Linked DNA regions of Danio rerio. Each later gene encodes a partner of the first gene's protein in a complex. Links are inferred from orthologs where the notes say so. Each region holds a gene or a part of one and is shown in the gene's direction. Other genes may lie near its edges.

Evidence for each region. Proteins that work in one complex are often made in the same cells at the same time.
Region 2: the proteins of keap1b (region 1) and ptmaa are in contact, whole or in part, in a crystal structure (PDB 2Z32), measured with the Mus musculus proteins. The link is inferred for Danio rerio from reciprocal best matches to the Homo sapiens genes KEAP1 and PTMA. Residues at the interface, in NP_001103775.1 of Mus musculus: Tyr334, Ser363, Arg380, Asn382, Arg415, Phe478, Arg483, Ser508, Gly509, Tyr525, Gln530, Ser555, Ala556, Tyr572, Gly574, Phe577, Ser602; in NP_032998.1 of Mus musculus: Gln40, Asn41, Glu42, Glu43, Asn44, Gly45, Glu46, Gln47.
Region 3: the proteins of keap1b (region 1) and fbxl17 are in contact, whole or in part, in a crystal structure (PDB 6W66), measured with the Homo sapiens proteins. The link is inferred for Danio rerio from reciprocal best matches to the Homo sapiens genes KEAP1 and FBXL17. Residues at the interface, in NP_036421.2 of Homo sapiens: His59, Thr60, Ala63, Ile66, Met67, Glu69, Leu70, Gln75, Leu76, Gln82, Lys84, Ala90, His96, Val98, Ala101, Ser102, Ser103, Ser104, Pro105, Val106, Lys108, Ala109, Met110, Thr112, Asn113, Gly114, Val122, Ser124, Glu126, Gln163; in NP_001156787.2 of Homo sapiens: Asp395, Arg397, Arg421, Lys423, Asn447, Gln473, Tyr475, Met524, Arg548, Asn572, Cys574, Leu575, Trp577, Glu596, Tyr598, Val600, Ser601, Asp623, Trp626, Lys628, Tyr647, Met651, Arg652, Val676, Leu677, Asp679, Cys680, Thr683, Leu684, Arg686.

The regions. Positions count from the first base shown.
Region 1 is NC_133181.1:201,959-209,731, reverse strand, and holds the start of keap1b (kelch-like ECH-associated protein 1B), read left to right. Parts: upstream 1-3,547; 5' UTR 3,548-3,564; intron 3,565-4,658; 5' UTR 4,659-4,907; coding exon 4,908-5,222; intron 5,223-5,807; coding exon 5,808-6,053; intron 6,054-7,225; coding exon 7,226-7,773. Other genes in the region: s1pr5b (sphingosine 1-phosphate receptor 5b), read left to right, coding at 254-1,327. UniProt on the Homo sapiens protein: Substrate-specific adapter of a BCR (BTB-CUL3-RBX1) E3 ubiquitin ligase complex that regulates the response to oxidative stress by targeting NFE2L2/NRF2 for ubiquitination.
Region 2 is NC_133181.1:32,299,446-32,306,934, forward strand, and holds ptmaa (prothymosin alpha-A), read left to right. Parts: upstream 1-2,951; 5' UTR 2,952-3,051; coding exon 3,052-3,096; intron 3,097-5,391; coding exon 5,392-5,460; intron 5,461-5,554; coding exon 5,555-5,642; intron 5,643-5,764; coding exon 5,765-5,979; 3' UTR 5,980-6,602; downstream 6,603-7,489.
Region 3 is NC_133183.1:1,641,626-1,649,256, forward strand, and holds the start of fbxl17 (F-box/LRR-repeat protein 17), read left to right. Parts: upstream 1-3,093; 5' UTR 3,094-3,188; intron 3,189-7,631. UniProt on the Homo sapiens protein: Substrate-recognition component of the SCF(FBXL17) E3 ubiquitin ligase complex, a key component of a quality control pathway required to ensure functional dimerization of BTB domain-containing proteins (dimerization quality control, DQC).

The DNA.
Region 1 (7,773 bases):
GTGTAGATTGCTGAAGCACTGGTCAGAGAAATGACAGGAACACAGCACAGGGCGGGGGCGATGATGCTGAGGTGTTTCTGCAGTAATATTAGCTGAGATGAAGTGCTGACTGCTGCTGTTTCCTTCATGTTCTGCAGGTCTTCATCAGGGATGGGCTGAGTGCTCTCCAGCGCCCCCCCCCCAGGCAGAGCAGTGTTCTGCAGCATCTGTGTGTGTGTGTGTGTGTGTGTGTGTGTGTGTGTGAGATCTGCAGATGGATGCGTCCGGCTCCTCCAACAGCTCCAGTTCTCCTCTCTGCAGCTCCTACCAGAGCAATGCGGTTCTGCAGCGCCACTACAACTACACCGGGAAGCTGGAGCGTGGCCGGTACCGAGATGGCCTGCAGCCCGAGGCTGTGGCGCTGCTGTGCGTCTGCCTACTGATCATCGCTGAGAACCTGACGGTCCTGCTGGCCCTCCGCAGGAACAGGAGGTTCCACATGCCCATGTTCTACCTGCTGGGCAACCTGGCGCTATCGGACCTGCTGGCTGGCGTGGCCTACATGCTGAACGTGGTGCTGTCGGGCCGGAACACTCTCCGCCTGACGCCGGCGCTGTGGTTCCTGCGGGAGGCCGGTGTGTTGGTGACGCTGGCGGCATCGGTGCTGTGTCTGCTGGCCATCGCAGTGGAGCGCGCCTGCACCATGCGGAGCTCCAGGCCGCAGCAGAGCTCCAGGCGCCGCCGCCGCATGCGGGCGCTGATCGGGCTGAGCTGGGCGCTGGCGGTGCTGCTGGGGGCGCTGCCGGTGCTGGGCTGGAACTGCCTGCAGGAGCTGCGCTGGTGCTCCACCGTCCTGCCGCTGTTCGCCAAGAGCTACGTGCTGTTCTGCGTGTCGGTGCTCAGCGGCGTCCTGCTGGCCATCGTGCTGCTGTACACACGCATCTTCCTGTTGGTCAGGGCGCACACGCACGCACACACACACACGCAGCGGTCCCGCAAACACATGGCGCTGCTGCGGACGGTGGCGCTGGTGCTGGGCGCCTTCATCCTGTGCTGGACGCCGCTGTTCGCGCTGCTGCTGCTGGATGTCTCCTGCCCCGCCAGAGCCTGTCCAATCCTCTTCAAGGCCGACTACTTCCTGGGCGTGGCCATGCTGAACTCGCTGCTGAACCCCGTGATCTACACGCTGAGCAGCAGAGACGTGCGCAGCGCCGTGCTGAAGCTGCTGTGCTGCCGCTGCACACCGGACACACACCGCCACGGCCTGCAGAACACACTCTCATCCGCCAACGCCACGTCCATACACAAGTCCATCTACCCCAAACTGCGGCTGTCCGTCATCACCTGACTCTGAGACACACACACACACACATGCGCACACACACACACACATCACGTCACACGGCAGGAACTGAGCAGTGTTCTGGACACCAGACTCACACGGGGGCAAAAAACCCTTTCAGAAGCCTCAAAGGAGGTCAACACACACACACACACACACACACACACACACTCACACACACACACACACCTGCAGATCTCTATCAGCAGATGTGTGTTTCAGACTGAGTGTGATGAGCTTCAGAGAGAGCAGATGTCCTGGCTGTGGTGCTGTCTCTGCTCTGGCTCCACAGCGCTCAGCAGCAGAACTGAGGGTCAGCGCAGCTGGATGAGCTCGTGATGGACTGAGCAGACTGCGGGGTCTGCGGGGTCTGCGGGGTCTGTGGGGTCTGCGGCCGCTCGTGTGTCAGCGCTGTGGGGACGCTTTACTGCTTTAACGTGTAAATAAATGATGTTCTATTTTATTGTATAATAAATCATGTATGAATAACCCAGACAGAATATAACCTACAGCTGCTTCATATGTGTGGGTCAGTTTATCTGGTGTTCATCACTTATGAGGACCAAATGTCCCCACAAGTATAGCAATACCAGTAAATGATCTCATGGGGACATTATTTTGGGTCTCTGTGAGGAAAAAGGCTGATAGAGCCGGCAGAATGGAGGAGTGTGAAGGTGTGTGTGTGTGTGTGTGTGAGGGTTGAGGAGAGAGGAGACGAGCTGCCAAAATTACTCCAAATATTTCTGGGATGGTGATCATCAGAAGAAACAAAAACTAAAAGCTCAGAACACAAGTGTGTGTGTGTGGTGTGTGTGTGTGTGTGTGTGTGTGTGTGTGTGTGTGTGTGTGTGTGTGTGTGTGTGCGTGTCGGAAACCAACAAACACATGTGGGTGACTGCAAATTCAGCTGTGCGTCTGCAGAGGGGCTGCTGTTGCACACATGCACACACACACACACACACAAGCACACACACACACAAACAAACATGGAAACACCACAGAGCTCACCTTTACACTGTTTACCGTAAACAAACACACACACTCAAACCAACCTCAGAGCCGTCACACCTAAACCACGGGCATCTCTCAATCGCTCACACTCTCTCTTTCTTACCCACACACACACACACACACACACACACACACACACACAAGCTTAGTCATCTGTCAAAACTGGAACTTCTCATGAAATATTAAAATAGAGATGTGAAGAGTGTGTGTGTGTCTCTCAGCTTCTCCTGACCAGTGTGTGTGTGTGTGTGTGTGTTGCTCTGCCGTGAGTGTCAGACTGAAGTGCAGTAGAGTGTGAGTCGCTGCTCCAGTAGACGGGCACGTCAGAGGTCAGAGGTCAGCTGTTCACAGATTGGGCTCTTCTACAAAGATTTTAATGTTTATTTACTCATTAATGAAAGTCAGACTGGAGAGGCAGTGTGTGTGTGTGTGTGTGTGTGTGTGTGTGTGTGTGTGTGTGTGTGTGTGTGTGTGTGTGTGTGTGTCCTTCAGTGTAAAATGTTAATTGCTGAACACACACACACACACACATAACTCTGCATGTAGTCCTCCATCTGTCGCTCCGCTCTGCTCACTGAGAGCCGGACTGTTTTACTGATCGTGTTTTGGATCCAGTATAGGCATGAGATGTGTGCAGCTTCAGCTCAGCTCAGCTCCTCCTCTGATGATCACACTGGAGCAGAACAGAACAGAAGCTGTTCAGTCAGCTGAACCACAGATCCCAGAACAGCCAACAGCAGAACAGCTCAAACACAGCCCAGCAGCAGCCCGCTCTATTGACCTGTAGCGACACCTCGTGTCCAACATCAGTACTGCATCTCACACACACACACACACACACACACACACACACACACACACAGGCCAGCTAATGCTTAGTCACGCTGAGTTTCTGCTTTCAGTGGGTATGATACACACACAAGTACACACACTCACATACACACAGAAGTGCTCACACACACACACACACACACAGAGAGAGAGAGAGAGTGTCCGTGCGCTGCTGCTGATGCCCGTGAGTGTGTTTTCATTGTTTACTGTGTTTAATCGACATTACTGCCGCGTTTGTCAGATCTACAGGCTCGTGTTGATGCAGTTTCTGATGTACAGCTGTGAGGATGAGGATGGCGGCTTGTCTCCTTATTGATGAAGATCAGCTCATGATGAACTTTATTAATCTTCATCTTTATTCCTGATTGATCACTGTGTTGTTTATGGAGGCTTATAACGCGGTAAGAACATGGTAATAACACGAATAAAGTGTTTTGATTTGAGGTCGGCTCGCGTTTCCATCAATAATTTAAAGCGCGGGTCGCGTAGCGCTGAACTTTTCCTCAGCCTCGGTCTGTGGTTTCCCGCTCGGGCGCGGCGCCGCTGCTGAGTGTGGCCGGATCTGCGCTGCCGGGGGCCGGTGCCGTTTCAACTCAAGCCCGGGGATCTCAGGCCTCTCGCTGTTTATGTGTATTTACCGCGCTTTGTGTTCTTAGTGTTATTATAAGAGCTGAAAACAGCGGAAATCAAATTAAAGCATGACTGTAGAGCCGGGGTGAGGAGGATAAACGGAGATAAACACTTCAGTTCAGCAAATTGACAGAAACACATTAAAATAAACCTAGCAGACAGCTGGAACCACACACACACACACACACACACACACACACACACACACACACACACACACACACCTGCTGCATATATATTTGCTCTTTTAAACTACTTATTTAAAATGAGCTGAAACAACACAATTCTTGAGGTTTCATTTGTGAGAACTTAAATTTCTTATGTTCAATCCACACGCATTTGTTAAATGTGTTGAGTTAACTCAATCGACTTGTGTTGGGTCAAGATGAATGAATTGTGTGGAAGCCTGCATTTTTAACAGTGTGTGAGATTCTGTTTACCTGTACACACACTCATAAACAAACAAAAACACACTCATAAACACACACACACACACTAAGTGTGGATCAGAGTGTGTTCTGGTTCACTGACAGCAGGACAGTGTGTGTGTAGTCAGTGTGTGTGTATGTGTGTGTGTAAGCAGAAGATAGACTCCTGCTAACGACAGGAGGAACTCCTGAAACTCATTAGTTCTGATCAAATCACTGACGAAGATCTGATGAACCAGTCCTGAGTCCAACAGAAGAGAGAGTGTGTGTGTGTGTGTGTGTGTGTGTGTGTGTGTGTGTGTGTGTGTGTGTGTGTGTGAGAGTGTGTGTGATACTCCTGATCATTCATGGCAGAGTGTGTTATCGTAGTCAGTGGTGAATCCTCAGTGTTTGTTCTAATCTCTCTCTCTGTGTGTGTGTGTGTGTTTCCCCCTCAGGATTCGCGTGCAGACACAGATCAGCAGCTCTGCCCTCCTCTACAGACTGACTGACAGGCGCGTGTGTGTGCGTGTGTGTGTGTGTGTGTGTGTTCACACTGGTCAGGAGAACACAGATATGTGAGCGTTCCTCTGCGTGTGTTCCTGCTGGTGATGAGCGGTGTGTGTATGATGTGTGCGTGTCTCTAACACAGGTGTGTGTGTGTTCTCGTGACCGCTGCGCTGGCGAGTGAGGATGTGCCCGCGCTGATGTTGGCGGCGGCGGGCATGACGGAGTGTAAGGCGGAGGTGACGCCGTCGGCCAGCAATGGGCACCGCGTCTTCAGCTACACGCTGGAGAGCCACACGGCCGCCGCCTTCGCCATCATGAACGAGCTGCGGCGCGAGAGACAGCTGTGTGACGTCACACTCCGCGTGCGCTACTGCCCGCTCGACACACACGTCGACTTCGTGGCGCATAAGGTGGTGCTGGCCTCGTCCTCGCCTGTGTTCCGCGCCATGTTCACCAACGGCCTAAAGGAGTGCGGCATGGAGGTGGTGCCCATCGAGGGGATACACCCCAAGGTACCAGCACACACACTCACACACACACACACACACACACACACACACACACACACACACACTAGGAAAAAATAATAAATGGGAATTTGGATTTGTAGTGCAGTTTTCCCAGCTGTGTGTGTGTGCGAGTGTGTGAGTGTGTGAGTGTGTGTGTTTGTGTGAGTGTTGCATCATGATACAGTGATGGTCTTGAATGTGTACAGCTCCTCTCCTGAGCTCCAGCACACACACACACACACACACACACACACACACAGCTCAGTGGTCAGGTGATCAGTGACAGCAGCTGTTCTCTCTCCTCATTTCCTCCTCCAAACCTGTTTGAGTTTCTGTTGAACACAGCGGTAGATGTCCTGGAGGAAGCAGCTGATGACTGCAGCAGTGTTTCTGTTCCTGCTGTGGACGTCAGCGGCTGCTTTCCCAGCATTCCTCAGAGTATCAGAGACTGATGAAGCTGTAGAAGCGCTCGAGTGAGGAAAGGAGGAGGACATGTTCATTATAGGTGACCTGTGCCTTTCAGTGTGCCCACTTCAGAAACGGTGTGTGTGTGTGTGTGTGTGTGTGCGTGTGTGTTCTTGTCTCCAGGTCATGGGCCGGCTCATTGAGTTTGCGTACACGGCGAGCATCTCAGTGGGTGAGAAGTGTGTGATCCACGTGATGAACGGCGCCGTGATGTACCAGATCGACAGCGTGGTTCAGGCCTGCTGTGATTTCCTGGTGGAGCAGCTGGACCCCAGTAACGCCATCGGCATCGCCAGCTTCGCCGAGCAGATCGGCTGCACGGAGCTCCACCAGAAGGCCAGAGAGTACATCTACATGAACTTCAGCCAGGTCAGAGCGGCCGACGCACACAGGATAACCGCTCTCACACCCCTCACACACCAACACAAGAGTTCAGGCCTCAATAAGGGGCTTTCACACCCACACTTCTGTTTCGGAACCGTCCCGTTAGTCCAGTCAGCGCGGCTCGTTTGGCATATGTGAATCCAGCAATTGTGCTTGGATCTGCACCAAATCAATCAGTCCGAGATCGCCTGACTGAGGTTCAGTTAAAACTCTGGAGCAGATGGACTGTAGTGAGAAAGAGAAATGATCTGAGCCCGGCGGGATCACTGAGGATTCGGGCCCGCAGAATTCTGCAGATGTTTAGCTCATCATTGATTCTGTCTATTCACTTGAGTTAGTGTGTGTACATCTGTACTTATTCTGTAATATTATTGACTGATCTGAAAATGTTGATCTGATTTATGTACAGCGCAGTGTGCAGTCATGTCTTCAGGAGAGATATGATACGAGAGACTGGCTTTGTTTACCAAATAAAGTGGATCTGTATGGATTTGCATTGTAAACATGAAATTAAAGTTTAAAGGGATTAGTTTTAGTTCATATATTAGGGTTTTAGTCATGATACTCCTAAAATAATTACACATAAATCCGCAGATTTTGAACACAATTTTGTGCAGAAAAAGCAAAACCGTGTGCAGATTCCGCCTGGGCAGCTCATGGGCATATACACGCTACATATATGAGTAAAATGTGCGTTTCATGTCAAATACGAAGCGAAGCTCGAGACAAATGTAGACTCTGGAAAACATTTTCCCGCGATAAGACGCAACTACAGAGGAGAAACCATCTTCCCAAGGAGAAACACAAGAACAAGAACAATGTTTAATCGCAGCAGGTCAAACCGTGACTCTATAGATATTTCCCGGTGTGTGGAGCGTTCCCTCTGCGTGTGCCTGTAAGTGTGTTTGGGCACTGCTAACAGTGTTTTGGGTCTTGTTCTTGTGTTTCTCCTTGGGGAGATGGTTTCTCCTCTGTAGTTGCGTCTTATCGTGGGAAAATGTTTTCCAGAGTCTACCTTTGTCTCGAGCTTCGTAAGTGTTTCAGTCTGTGTTGTTGTTTTGCACCACCGTACATCCCCCTAACCCAAACCCCCCAACAGCATGCCCTCACCACCAATACCCCAACTCTAACATGCGCGCGCGGTGTGTGTCCTGCAGGTGGCGACGCAGGAGGAGTTCTTCACCCTGTCTCACTGTCAGCTGGTGACCCTGATCAGCCGGGACGAGCTGAACGTGCGCTGCGAGTCGGAGGTGTTCCACGCGTGTGTGGCGTGGGTTCAGTACGACCGTGAGGAGCGGCGTCCGTATGTGCAGGCGCTGCTGCAGGCCGTCCGCTGCCACTCGCTCACGCCGCACTTCCTGCAGCGGCAGCTGGAGCACTTCGAGTGGGACGCGCAGAGCAAAGACTACCTGTCACAGATCTTCCGGGACCTGACGCTGCACAAGCCCACCAAGGTCATCCCCCTGCGCACGCCCAAGGTGCCGCAGCTGATCTACACGGTGGGCGGATACTTCCGGCAGTCGCTCAGCTTCCTGGAGGCCTTCAACCCCTGCAGCGGCGCGTGGCTGCGGCTGGCGGACCTGCAGGTGCCCCGCAGCGGGCTGGCGGCCTGCGTCATCAGCGGCCTGCTGTACGCCGTGGGTGGACGCAACAACGGGCCCGACGGGAACATGGACTCACACACGCTGGACTGCTACAACCCCAT
Region 2 (7,489 bases), about 32 Mb from region 1:
AGTTTTTGAAATACTCAGACAAACCCATCTGGCACCAATAACAATGCCACATTCAAAGTCACTTAAATCACCTTTCTTTCTCATTGTGATGCTCGGTTTTAACTGCAGCAGATCATCTTGATCATGTGTACATGCCTAAATGCATTGAGTTGCTGCCATGCGATTGGCTGATTAGAAATTTGCATTAACGAGCAGTTGTACAGGTGTACCTAATAAAGTGGCCGGTGAGTGTATATACACAGTTTATAAACTAGACTGTATACAAGTGCACAGCGCATATATCTGTGTGTTTGTGCATGTGTGTGTTATAGAAGACCAAGAACATCTTTAACAAATCTATAATAATAATATACTAAATTAATCCAATTACTCTTCCTCGATATTTTGTGCTACTAGATGACCTGGGCAGTAATGAACAGGGGATGACCATATTTTAGTCCGGAGGCCATTTGTGAATTCTCAGCAGCAATAAGATGGTGTAAGTAAACAGGACCATCCAAGAGACCAGGGCAATAGGGCTCTGAGCCCCTGGGACTGCGTTAAATCACGTGACCAACCATACCAGACGGCAGCAAAGCAGGGGGATTTCCAGATTGGTTATTATTGTTGCAGACAGGAAAAGACTCCATTTAGATGCCAGAGATCACTGAGCAATCCCTCTCACAGTTTGTTGTAGCAGTAGCTTTATAGCAGAGGTAATGGTGGAGAATGATCTGCTAGAGAGAGAGAGATGGAGTGAAGGATTGTTTCAGCACTCCAGGGGGTGTCACAAACATTTTGCAGATCTTTACATTGATGAGAATTTTGGCAGATGCAAATGTCTTTAAACACACTGTATTTGATATAGTAAACAGTTTTGCATTTACTATTATTTTTTATTTTGTATTATTAGTACAAAATTACATCCTAAAATTATGTAGTTTTATAATTGTAATACTTATTTACAGTACAATAATATGATTTTCTTATTTTTCTTTAAATAACTTTATCGAAAAGTGTATTTTTGTCCAAAAATGGACTATAACTTGTGCAGAATCATCCCAGATTGTCTAGAACTGATTGATGAATGTACTGTATTTTAATTTCATACCATCAAACATTTATTCATTCCATTACTGAACGAGTAGTTGATATGTAACAGTTGTGTTTTCTTTAATGACGGATTATAAATGCATGAGACAGAGACAAATGGATGAGTCTGGATGGTCAGGAGTGTATGCTGCTAATGCAAAGGTTGCAGGTTTAATTTCAAATAGTGTGACCCAGGAACTGGTGTGTAGGGAGATTTTGCTCATCATTTTGCCCTTGAGCGAGGCACTAAACTTTAGTTTGATCCATATATGCAGTTACTGTAGCAAATGCAAAGTGCCTGCTAAATGACAAAGCATACAGAATACTGATAAGTATACTTAAAGTTATTAGTGATAGTAATTAAGCAAATAAATTATGTGATTAGATGACAAGGTTGCAGTTTTTAAATCTCATTTTAATGCCTCGTTAAATACTGTATTGTGCAAATAATAATAATAATTTTTACTTCTGTAACGTTTGTAGCTACTACACTACAGCTCTCTGTAAACTTAGCGCTACTGCAACTGTTTTGTTAGTGAGATAAATAGCTTGGGATATGTCTCATTTGCAAGTCTCTTTAAATAAATGCGTCGACTAAATGATGACAATAAGTAACCTGTTAGTAATTACCCTTGCGAAAATCCAGTCCTGAGCGTGTGTTTGCTAACACCTTTTATCTGTCCTTGACATGAAAATGGAGAAATGAAAAGGGAAAAGACAACGCTCCAGTTCCATGTTTTCTTTAGCACCTTAAAAAACGATACTTCAGTTGATTGACGTTGGCTTTATCCAATCATCGCTCGCAAAGCGTCAAGTCTGTGTTCGTTCGGCCCAATCGGCCAATAAGAAGACTTTAAGACGCCATATGGAATTTCAATCAGCCATGTTGGTGAGGTAAAGACGTACACCATTACATTTTCCCCGCAGCGTGCAAATTTTAAATTTCATAACCTATCTAAACGACGAAATGTATGTCTATAAAACACTGCGTTTACTGAGATTATCCGTTGTTTTTCATCAGGCATTCGAATCATTCATGTTTGCAAGTGCGAGTGAGATTCCGCTTAACATCAGGCATCTAAAATCGCGACTTTTGTCTTGTTCTAAATAGAAGAACCAACTGTGTATTATTTTTGTATTATTTCTTAACTATATCGTGTGTAAAACCCTACACAACTCCTTAGGATAATATTTTACAAAGGCTACCCACTTACCAGTGGAAACATTGGTAAAGAGGCGGGTTTTAAGAACTGTCAGTCAAATGTTGAGCAGGTTTCACCAGTGGGGCGTCCACAAACTGCCGCAATATTATATTCATTCAGCGTGACCTTTCGTTCAGATAAAGAAAATGGTTATGCGCTTCCTAAAACAAATAAATGATCATTTTAGTAGTATTTGTAACCTCTGTGCTTGCATACTGATTAGATACATGTTTGTATAGTTTACAAGACAGCGTTTTGTGAAATTTTAACATAGTGTTTATGAATAACGGGGTGATAAAATATTGTATGATGACAATTAAATGTCACTAAATGTAATAACACATCAGGAAGCATGCATAACACACTAGACCTGGCTGGCTTTCTCTTTGTGAAATCGTTGTTGTTTTTGTTTGTTTTGTTTTTTTAGCCATTGAGTCCATCTAGGCCATCCATCATTGTGAGGTTGACCAGGATAGTATATATCGACAGTTATTCCACACATAAATGAGTCAGAGGCTGGTTTGAAGGCGGGGTCCGACTTTGTAGAAATACTGTCCATTGTTCCATCAAGACCAATCTGCGAAGCAGAGTCGCTGGCATGTTGACCAATCAATGGACAGCGCCCGCCTCCGAGCTCCGCCTTCCTTCTATAAAAGTGCTCTGCCGCCGTCTGAGCTCGCTACAGACCCTTAGTAGTCTTTTTTATCATTCGCATCTCGTGTTTCTCTTTATATTATTTTATTCCGAGACCCCATTATAATCTTAACATTTAGGAAAAATGGCTGACACAAAAGTCGATACCAACAAGGACGTCTCCGCAAAGGTAATGAATACAACTTCGGCTTACACTGATTTGTAAAGATGCTGCTTTTTATTCATATGAGCAGACGAGCTGTATGAAATATGGATTGTGGAATGGAAATCAGCATACAGCTTTATTGGGATATTCTTGGCAATTTTTTGTAGGTGTTTTGTCCTCTCACTGTCACTTTGAAGACTTCGTGGATGTAAATTCGTGAAGTGGAGATTTTTACGGACACATTTGCAACTAAAAGGCTTTTTGTTCGTATTCTGCGCGGGGTCTTTGTTTATGCAGGAGGATTTTCGGTTCCTCTTTAAAAAGTATAGTGAAAGAGATGGACGCAGAGGATCGTAGGCATTATCTCCAGTCTGCTCATTTGGTTTAGTTGCTCGAGTTTGATTATTACTTAATACAGACTCGGATATACTGACGGAGCCTCGTAGAGTCCGCGAGACGCGGTGATTCGTCAGCCCGCAGCTCGATCTGTCACAACTTACCGCAGCCCTCACGATGTCTGATGCCTCTGTTTATAGCACGTTTCCTTGATGTTTAATGTAACGTTAGAGCTGCTTTCTTTTTGACTAGTGTTTAAAACCCAAATTTATCATTGGGATTATTATGTTCAGAACCAACCTGCTTCACATGTACGCTCCATTCAGCGGGACTTTATCAAGGGTTTAATTCACGTTGCCCTCTAAGTTCTGTCAAGTTCGGCTTATAGTTCACTTTTTGTGGTGAAACAGAGTTCATCATACAAGATTGATCAGCTGCTTATGAGATTTATGTGGATCTAGTCTACCTGAACCTACTTTGCACAGCGTCGGGATAACGTTAGGTGATAATTAACAGGAAATAACAGAAAACGAGGCTCTTCTTTTGGTTCACGGAAGAACTGGTTAGTCTGTATCGAAACATGAAGAAGTTGCTTCTATCAGCGATCGCAGCTTGTGCGTAAACTTCTCCGGCGAAACCCCGCTGCGGATGCAGCAGTCTGGCGGACTGGATGAGCTCTATTGTCGCGCGCGGGCAGCGCAGCAGGAGAGCGCGAAACCCGAAGTTACGAGCACCCGTGCAGGCAGCGGCTCTGTTTCACGCTGCTTATATTTGCAAACAAACTAGATCGACGCATTTGCAGGTTGCTTCTCGCTGTGATGCTCCTTCAAGCGATTCACGCACGAGCGCCGCGTTATAGGACGCAACGGCTTCATTCATCTTTTAAAATGTAATCTCGGGATCCTACATCTATCTCCGTTGCGCTGCGCTCCGTCGGGCTGCCCGAGAGCGCAGGACCGCGCGCTGGTGAACGGCCCCGTTCAGTGCATGTAGCCGAGTGCGCGCTTCTCACTGGTGTCCTCACTGGTGTCATACGAGGATCTCCTACTCCAGTTGTGGACACAACATTTTGACCTGTTTGTCCTTTGTTGCATCTCTTGTTTGCCTACGGAAGACGGAGATGATTTCCGCTTCAGCTTACTGCCCACATTGTTTGTTTGATCAATAAATGGGTCAGTATTATCTCGTAGACAGTGGCAAATGTCCATTATTCATGTACGGCTCACTGACGCTGTGAAGCGGCATGTAGTGGTGACGGTGTGTGAGAAGGCGTTGCAGGCGTGTTGTGGACACTAACCGGCTTAAAAGCTGAGGATTATGACCTAAATTTATTAATGCGAGCGAGCTGCTGCATGAAAGCACATCCTGGTATTCGGGACGATGCGCTTTTATACGGAGATTCAACGTGTTAAATAATTAGATAAATAGCATTGCTCATCTTAATAGTAATGGTCATTCTCGAGAGAACAATAGTATAGTGCTCGAAAAAGACGAATTATTAAAGGCCTTAATGCACAACGCTATTGTTCCCCCTCCTCTCGCTCTCTCTCTCTCTCTCTCTCTCTCTCACTCACTCACTCTCTCCTTTTCTGAGGTTTATCGGTCCTGCCTCTTTTCGGTCGAGTTCGCTCTCCTATTGGCTGACTTAAAATACTCACTAATTGTGATCTGGGAGTTGTAGTTTTTTAGCGGGCGTGTCTTCATCAAGCGTAATGATGTGGATAATAAACTGAACTACAGCGCACTTTGGCGGTAACGCCATCGCCGTATCAAATTACAACACCTCAATATGGTCTTTAAACCAGGCGGGGATGGAAGAGACAGGCGTCCAATGAATAAAGAGAGAGAAAGTGTCGCGTTTCAAATGTGAAATGAAAACACGTTCCGCGAAGATGAGAGGATGTGAATTTAGCTCTGCTCACGCTGTTTAGTTAAGAGAAGCAACCAAAGAATTTACAGAGAAATATTTTGTTCCTTATTTAGGACCTCAAAGAAAAGAAACAGGTTGAGGAGGCGGAAAATGGAAAGGATGCTCCCGCGAATGGAAATGCGGTACGATTCCAAATAATTACTTCACAACATAAAGTTTTCAGTACTAAAAGACCTCAAGTACGACCATTAATAACCCATAATGCTATTATTTTAGGAAAACGAGGAGAATGGAGATCCAGAAAATGAAGTAGATGAGGAAGACGATGATGTGGCTGAAGAAGATGAGGAGGATGATGGAGAAGGTATGTTTATTTAATGAAAGTAAAAAAAAAAAAAGCTTTTAAAACATCTGCTGTGGGTTTAAACAATTGACAACCAAAATGTGTAAATAAAGATGAATTACTAAGGTATTACCACATTACAGGTGATGACGATGATGAAGATGAGGAGGCTGAGGGTGGAACGGGAAAAAGAGCGGCTGAAGATGATGATGATGATGAGGCAAGTTTACACTTTATGTTACTGAAATCCTCAGATAAAAGTAAATTCCTCAGGCTGACCAAACGACTTCAGTGTGTAACTCTGACCCTTTTTTTCCAGGATGATGTTGATCCCAAGAAGCAAAAGACTGATGTGTAAAAAGCTTCACTGCTGGAAATGTTCTCATCCCTCCTTTCCTTAACTTGTTCATCAGGGGAGGGGTCAAAAAAACGTGGTCATCATCAAGTAGAGTCCAGCATCCGTGTACACACACCTAACTGCAGATTTTGTAGAAACAACCAAGACTTCAAAGCTCTACCTTCTTACAAAATACTTTAAAAGGAAAAATTTGTTTGTATTTTTATTTACATTTTATATTTTTGTACATATTGTTAGGAGGTCAGCCATTTTTGACAGTGATCTCTGGTTACCAAACGGTGCTTTGAAGTTGATGCTTCTCTATGAAATAGATTTTACTTGTGGTTTGACCATGTCATGTTATCTCAAACGAAACTTGTAAAAAAACACAGCAAAAAAAGAAATGAAAAATGACTGAAAAACACACAAAAAAAATCTTTAATTCAAAGCATTCCAGTAACTTTGTGTATGTACATCAGTTGTATCATACGTAGTTGGATTGTATGAGAGGGCAAAGTCAAAGGAAAAGAATTTTCTTCTTTTCTTTCTTGTCTGTTAAATTGCTATCTATTTGTGGCCTGTTTGATGTATGTGTGAAATTTGTTGTGCGACAATAAACCGAAATTTATTTTGTGACTTCTTAATTTTTTTTCCCATCCTTTTTTTTTCCGTTTCGTCTGTTTCTATTGTTGGAGCTGTATAGGCAAGAATAATTGAACCAGCGTCATCTTCAGATGCAGTTCATGTTTTGTTCTTTCATCAGCCTGTCAAAAATAAATGTACATCAATGTAAATTATTCAGGCCTTTAAATCTCCAAGATCTGGTATAAATTATATTGCGTTAAATAAAATTGACTGTGTGAATTCTTTCATTTATATTCACATTTCTTGGGGCCACATTTACAGTGTGTGTGCTTGCGTGTGTGTGAGTTAACAAGTGAATTAACAAAAATGATCAAGATCATAGATGACTGCATTTCTATGCTCTCTTGTACACTGTAAAATCAAAAAAGTTAAGGTAACTCAAACTGTTTGAGGAAACAGATTGCAACAAACCATTAAAGCTCAAAAACTAATACTAATGAGTACTGTGAACTTAATCCATTTAAGTAAACGAAGCAGTTTGAGCACAGTAAAACCTAATAAATGAAGAACTCAAATTAACTGAGTACTGTAAAACCCAATAAAAAGCAAAAACTCAAACCCTTTCAGGAAACCGATTCCTACAAACCATTTGAGTTAAACTAATCTATATGAGTACTGTCAACGTCAATTAAGTCGAAGTACTGAAGAATTTAATTAACTCATTACCTTCAACACTGAGTTCAAAACTCTTTTCAAATGAGGAGAATTACTTTCAGTAAATTTTGAGTTATCTGCACTCATTTCATTTGATAAAGTCGACTGTTGGGTTTTACAGTGTAGTTATTACGTAAAGAACACAAGATGAGGGGTTTGAGTGCAGATTATCAAAATCACAAAGTCCGCTCTGAAATGAAATGTTCAGGTTCAAGTGATATTGAACTTTGAA
Region 3 (7,631 bases), on another chromosome or scaffold:
ATAACTGAGCCTGAACCAAACAACATAGAATCACCAAGAGGCGACACTCTAGTGCAATTTAGGAAACAGCCACTAGATGGCGAAGCTGCCATTGTGGAATAAAAACTCCAATAGAACAACAGCATATTATAAGTCTGTAAAATAAACTAGTGAAAGTGCTGATGATCGTGATAGTAAGTGTTGTATTGTCATCTTTCAGGTTGTATCTCAGCTTTAATGCGATTTTTAAATAAATAAATAAAAAACAAAGCAGCTGCTTGCCATCGCGACCTCAATAAGATCCAATTGACAGCCGATTGCTTTCACTCCAAAATGGCGAAATCCGGAGCTGTTGTTGGACGCTGCTGTTGCAATGGAACGCTCTATTGAGTGTCACCTCTTAGTCATTCTAAGCTCTTTGCCTGAACTGAGCCAGATAAGTTGGTGTGTCACGCCCACATAACAAACAGACTTGGCCCAAATGTGGCCTCATTATGGCACTGCTGGCGTGTTGCCGGCACTGGCATGCATAATGTCAGCCAAATGTGTGCCATGCAGTGCAATGATGGCACTGCATGCAAGACGGCAAACTACATTTGGGCCAGTTGTGAATGGGAAGTGTGTGGCCCAGATCAGTGTAGCGATTGTTCACATTGTTTAGGTAACATCCCCCATAGCAAAATTTCTCTGGCCCAGATCTGGCCCACACGATCAGCATTTGCTTGGCCCACATGCCGCAGTGAATTACGGTACATGAATGGACCAAGTTTGGCTTCCATACAAGACGCAAACATGGACCATATCTGGGCCAAGTCTCAGCCAAGTTAATAACTCATAACTGGGCCTGAACTGGGCTAGATATGTTGGTGTGTCACGACTGCAATGTTATTTATGAACCCATGAAGCATTTCGCTTTATGGCCGTGCTTTTTCTTGAAGTGACCTGATTGGTAGAATTTTTTCTTCACTCGAAAATAATTTAAATGCATTTTAAAAGTGGGCTAGGCCAAACTTACGTGGCCCACATATACATTTTAACATCTGGGCCAAATACTACATTTGACATCTGGCCCAAGTCTTGAGTGCCGTCTGTAAGACGGTGCCACCTCAGCCTAACCTGGGCCATGTTTAGCCCACATGCTGCATGCCAGTGCCGGACGAATGCCTGCTGTGCCAGCTTTATGCAAAGTCTGGCCCAGAACATTTTGCTACTTGGGATTAGGCTGGGTTAGGGCTCAGTGTTTGGGGTTTCTGGTTAAAGTATAAACTTATAGCTGTGAATCCGTACCAATAATAAACCTGTTTTGGCCCACTTCAAGCCAAGTTAAGGGTGATAAATTGGGTGAGATTTGGGCCGGTGATGGCCCATGTGTGGCCCTTGTCTTTAATTCAATTCAATTCAATTCAGCTTTATTTGTATAGCGCTTTTACAATGTAGATTGTGTCAAAGCAGCTTCACATAAATGGTCATAGTAACTGGAACAGTGTAGTTCAGTTTTTAGTGTTTAAGTTCAGTTCAGTTTAGCTCAGTTCAGTGTGATTTAAACAATTCAATTCAATTCAATTCAGCTTTATTTGTATGGCGCTTTTACAATGTAGATTGTGTCAAAGCAGCTTCACATAAATGGTCATAGTAACTGGAACAGTGCGGTTCAGTAACTGGAACAGTGTGGTTCAGGTTTTAGTGTTTAAGTTCAGTTCAGTTCAGTTTAGCTCAGTTCAGTGTGATTTAATCATTACTAAGTAAGTAGTAATTAACATTACTAAGAGTTCAAACACTGAAGAGCAAATTCATCGATGCGTAGCTCTACCAATTCTGAACCATGCGAGGCAGTGGCGACAGCGGAGAGGGAAAAAAACTTCACCTGATGGAGTGAAGAAAAAAAACCTTGAGAGAACCAGACTCAGTTGGGCACGACCATTTTAATTTCTCCGCTGGCCAAAAGTCTTGTGCAGAGCTTCAGTCTTTAATCCAGTTATGGGCCACTTCAGGACCGTTATTCCTTGTGGTAGTTGGGCCAAGGAAAAAAGTTATTGTGTGGGCCGGAGCTGGGCCAGAAAACATTTGCTCTGTGGGCACTGTAATGAAATTGATAAACCCATGAAGCAGTGCGCTTTAGGCGTACTGTGGGCATGCTTTTTCTCGAAGCGACCTGATTGGTAGGATTTTTTTTCTTTATTTGAAAATAATAAAAATGTATATTAAATGGGGTCAAGATTTACATATCAATCCTTAACATCTGGCCCAAATACTACATTTGTCATCTGGCCCAAGTATTGTGTGCCGCCTTAAAAAAAAAGAGCCAAATCTGGGCAGAATTCTGTGCAACCTGGGTAGTTGTCTTTTTATAGGAATTGTGATGTTAAATTTTTGGTTGATACTATTGTGGTGTGGGTGGCGCGGTGGCGCAGTGGGTAGCGCTGTTACCTCACAGCAAGAAGTCGCTGGTTCAAGTCCCGGCTCGATCAGTTGGTGTTTCTGTGTGGAGTTTGCATCTTCTCCCTGTGTTGGCGTGGGTTTCCTCCGGGTGCTCCGGTTTCTCTCACAGTCCAAACACATGCGCTATAGGGGAACTGATGAACTAAATTAGCCCTAGTGTATAAGTGTGAATGAGTGTGTATGTGAATGAGTGTGTGTGGGTGTTTCCCAGTGATGGGTTGCATCTAAAAAGTCATTCGCTGTGTAAAACATATGCTAAATAAGTTGGCGGTTCATTCCGCTGTGGCAAACCCTGATTAATAAAGGCACTAAGCCAAAAAGAAAATGTATGACTGAATATTGTGGTGTTGGCCCACGACTTCATTCATGAATGCAGATTCTTTATTTAATTATCATATATTTATTTTTCTTACTGCTATTTAGACTTGGAGGTGTATGAAGATGTGTCTCACGATTGTTGCAAGCTATTATATTCTTTCAAACATTAATTTAAAAAAGAAAAACAAACGCAAATCAAGCATGTTTAGTTTTATTCAAATAGTTTTCTTAAAAGCGCTTATGATTGGCCATCCGCTCCATACAGACAGCAGCTCCAGCCATTGACAGCCCGCTTTAATAGAGAGCGGTGGGCGGGATTTCCTCTGTTATTTGAAATCCGGAAGTGTTTTGAAATATAGTAGCAGGTTGACACCGCGGTTCGTTCGCTCCTGTTAGCGTGTCGTGCGGATTATGAGAGCCCGGGACGGAGCTGCTGAGGGCCGCGTGAGCTGGTGAGCACCGCCGGGGGTTATTAGCACACTTACCGAGTCCTGCTTATCTTCTTAGGACGGAGTTTTAATGGCGTCGCCCGCTACTATCACTCAATGAAACACAACAACAGTCCGCTCCGTCAACACTGACAGCAGTAGCTCTTGTTGATTCTCAGTGTTTATTACAGCAGCACACGCTTTAAGCACACATTTGAGAGATATATAAAGCAGCCCTGTTGTCTTGTACACTCTTCATACACATGCATAAAGTACTGTGGTACACCAGTGGAAATAATAGTACTTATATTAGCTCTAGTTCATTCTCAATCAGCAGAACACGCTTTAATAACATTGAGATGTATAAATCTGTCCTGCAGACCTCTTACACATGCAGAAAGTACTGTTAGACTACTGTGGTACACTATAGTGGCAGTAGTAGGGATATATTAGCTCTTGTTGATTCTCAATGTCTATTACAGCAGCACACTCTTTATTTACACATTTGAGAAGTATAAAGCTGTCCTGTAGACTCTTTACTCGTGCAGACAGTACTGTGGTACACTAGTGGCAATAATTGTAGGGATAGATTGTCATCGTCATGATTACAAACCAAAGATATCACTTGGTATTGTGTGCATAAAACATTATTCGTCATGCTGTTGCATTTGTGTGTTATTATTTCAGCTTTGTGTTTTGAAACACCCAGAGTTATGACTTTACCATTTATGCATTATCAAGTAACTTGCTCTGCAGACTCTTCACCCATGCAGACAGTACTGTGGTAGAGGCAAAAATTGAATAGATAGATTAGCCCTTCTTAATTCTTAATGTTTATTACAGCAGCACACACTTACACATATTTTTGTAATAATACTTATTTTTTTAGAGTTTTTTCAGCTTTAATTTGGATAGGATAGTGGAGGTTAAAGAGAGGAAAGTATTCAGAGCAGAGAGAGAGGAAGGGTCTGCAAAGGACCTTTAGCTGGGAATCGAACTCGGGTCGCTGTGAGCACCATGGCTATATGTCAGCACACTTAACCACTAGGCCATTGGTGCTGACTTTAATCCCACATTTGATTAATCCTCATTGTTTATTACAGCAGAACACGCTTAAGTAACATATTGGTTAAATAACACTAGTGGCAATAATAGCATTGATAGATGATTATCCTCATGATTACAAACCAAAGACTTCACATCACTTGTTATTGTGTGCATAAAATATTATTAGACAGATAGATTGTATATTTATATTGCTTTATCTTCATGCTTTTGCATTTGTGTGTTATTATTTCAGCTTTGTGTTGTGAAACACCCGGAGTTATGACTTTACCATTTATGCATTATCATGTAACTTACTCTGCAGACTCTTCACCCATGCAGACAGTACTGTGGTAGAGGCAAAAATTGAATAGATAGATTAGCCCTTGTTGATTCTTAATGTTTATTACAGCAGCACACGCTTGCATCACTTATTTTTGTAATAATACTTATTACAAAAAAATTAATGCATTAATTTGGATAGGATAGTGGAGGTTACAGAGAGGAAAGTATTAGGAGCAGAGAGAGGAGAAGTGTCTGCAAAGGACCTCAAGCTGGGAATCGAACTCTGGTCGCAGTGAGCACCATGGTGCTATATGTCAGCGCACTTAACCACTAGGCCATTGGTGCTGACTTTAATCCCACATTTGATTAATCCTCATTGTTTATTACAGCAGAACACGCTTAAATAACATATTTGAGATGTATAAGTCTGTACTGTAAACTCTTTACACATGCAGAAAGTATTGTTAGACTACACTAGTGGCAATAATAGCATTGATAGATGATCGTCCTCATGATTACAAACCAAAGATATCACTTGGTATTGTGTGCATAAAACATTATTAGACATTGAGATTGTATATTTATATTTCTTTATCTTTATGCTGTTGCATTTGTGTGCTATTATTTCAGCTTTGTGTTGTGAAACTCCTGCAGTAATGACTTTTACATTTAAACATCGTCAAGTAACTTACTCTGCAGACAGTACTGTGGTAGAGGCAATAATGGGACTAATAGATTACCACTTGTTGATTCTTAATGTTTATTACAGCAGCACACGCTTTATTACACAGTTTTTAATAATTATTCTAAGGGGTTTTTCACCTTTAATATGGGAAGGATAGTGGAGGTTACAGACAGGAAAGTATTGGGAGCAGAGAGAGGGGAAGGGTCAGCAAAGGACCTTTAGCTGGGAATCGAACTCGGGTCACTGTGAGCACCATGGTGCTATATGTCAGCGCACTTAACCACTAGGCCATTGGTGCTGACTTTAATCCCACATTTGATTAATTCTCAATGTTTATTACAGCAAAACACACACTTTATTTACATATTTGAGAAATAAAAACCTGTCCAGTAGACTCTTTACTCATGCAGAAAGTACTGTGGTAAACTAGTGGCAATAATAGTACAGATATATTAGCTCTAGTTGATTCTCATTGTTTATTACAGCAGCACACACTTAAATAACACATTTGAGATGTATAAATCTGTCCTGTAGACTCTTAACCCATGCAGACAGTACTGTGGTGGAGGCAATAATGGAATGAATAGATTAGCACTTGTTTACTCTAATGTTTATTACAGCAGCGCACGCTTATATCACATATTCTATTTATAATAATTTTTTAAAGGGTTTTTCACCTTTAATATGGGAAGGATAGTGGAGGTTTCAGACAGGAAAGTATTGAGAGCAGAGAGAGGGGAAGGGTCAGCAAAGGGCCTTTAGCTGGGAATCGAACTCGGGTCACTGTGAGCACCATGGAGTTAAATGTCGGCGCACTTAACCACTAGGCCATTGACTCTGACTTTAATCATAGATTTTTATACTCTGTTTTTAAACTCTTTACTTATGCAGAAAATACTGTGGTACACTAGTGGTAATAATGGTACAAATAGATTAGCCCTTGTGGATTTTTAATGTTTATTACAGCAGCACACACTTTATTCACACATTTTTTTTTATAATAATTTTTTAAAGGATTTTTCAGCTTTAATTTGGATAGGATAGTGAAGTTACAGACAGAAAAGTGTTGGAAGCAGAGAGAGGGGAAGAGCAAGCAAAGGACCTCAATCTGGGAATCGAACTCGGGTTGCTGTGAGCACCATGGTGCTATATGTTGGCACACTTAACCCCTAGGCCATTGACTCTGACTTTAATCAGAGATTTTTATACTCAATTTTTAGACTTTTTACCCAAGCAGAAAGTACTGTGGTACACTAGTGGCAATAATAGCAAGATAGATTAGCTCTTGTTGATTCTCATTGTTTATTACAGCAGCACATGCTTTAATCACACATTTAAAAGATTTGTAAAGCAGCCCTGTTGTCTTGTAGACACTTTATCCATGCAAAAAATCTGCAAAGGCCCTCATGCTGGGAATCGAACTCGGGTCACCGTGAGCACCATGGTGTTATATGGAGGTGCACTTAACCACTAGGCTATTGGTGCTGACCTTAATCACACATGTTCATATATACTTATAGTTGCCCTCTTACCCAGCAGACCCTTTACTCGTGCAGAAAGTACTGTGGTACACTAGTGGCAATAATAGTAGGGATAGATTAGCTCTTGTTGATTCTCAAATGTTTATTACAGCAGCACATGCTCTAATCACACATTTGAGACATATAAAGCTGCAGACTCTTTACTTGTATAGAAAGTACTGTGGCAGTAATATTAATGATATGCATTCGCATGTTATGTTAAATTATTTTAAATTAGACGCCCCATCCATAACCAACCTTAAATCATACCTGAACTCTGTTTAACAGTTCCAAGTAAACTGTTTTGTGTGGCATTCTCATAAAATCTCTCTGCTTTTGAATATCTTTGTTCGTAATTGTTCTTAGCCCTGTCAATGTTTATCTATTTTGTATTATTATTATAATATTTCCTCTCCTGTTTCTCTTACGTTTATATTCTTTAGCTGTCAATATAATACTTCGCGTCTATGGAAGAAAGAGTCAATAAAGATAGGCAATGTGTAACATCATATTCATCAATAGACGGTTTATGTGCAAGTAACTGCACCCGTCTGAGCAGGGAGCGAGCCAGCATGGGAGACAAGCTCCGATAAGATTGCAGAACAACGTCTGTCGCTGGATCCGAGGACTGAGATTTACGCGATCACCAGCTGGCTTCCGTTACATAAGGGCAAATATAGATGACTAAAACCTCATTTACTCATTTTACTCGTACTTTTTATCATTTATAATGTCCAAGGCATTGATATTAATATTAAATGCTACTTTTGTGCCTTTATTAGCCTTTTTCTCGCCTGTTTACTGGGTTACAAATCTTACATTATTCCATCTCCACCTGCTGGTGAAAGCTAGAGCAGCTGGCGATCTTCACTCTGCAATCTATTGCTTCTCCTGCAGTTCCCGGATGTAATGTTGAATTTTAACAGTCGAATT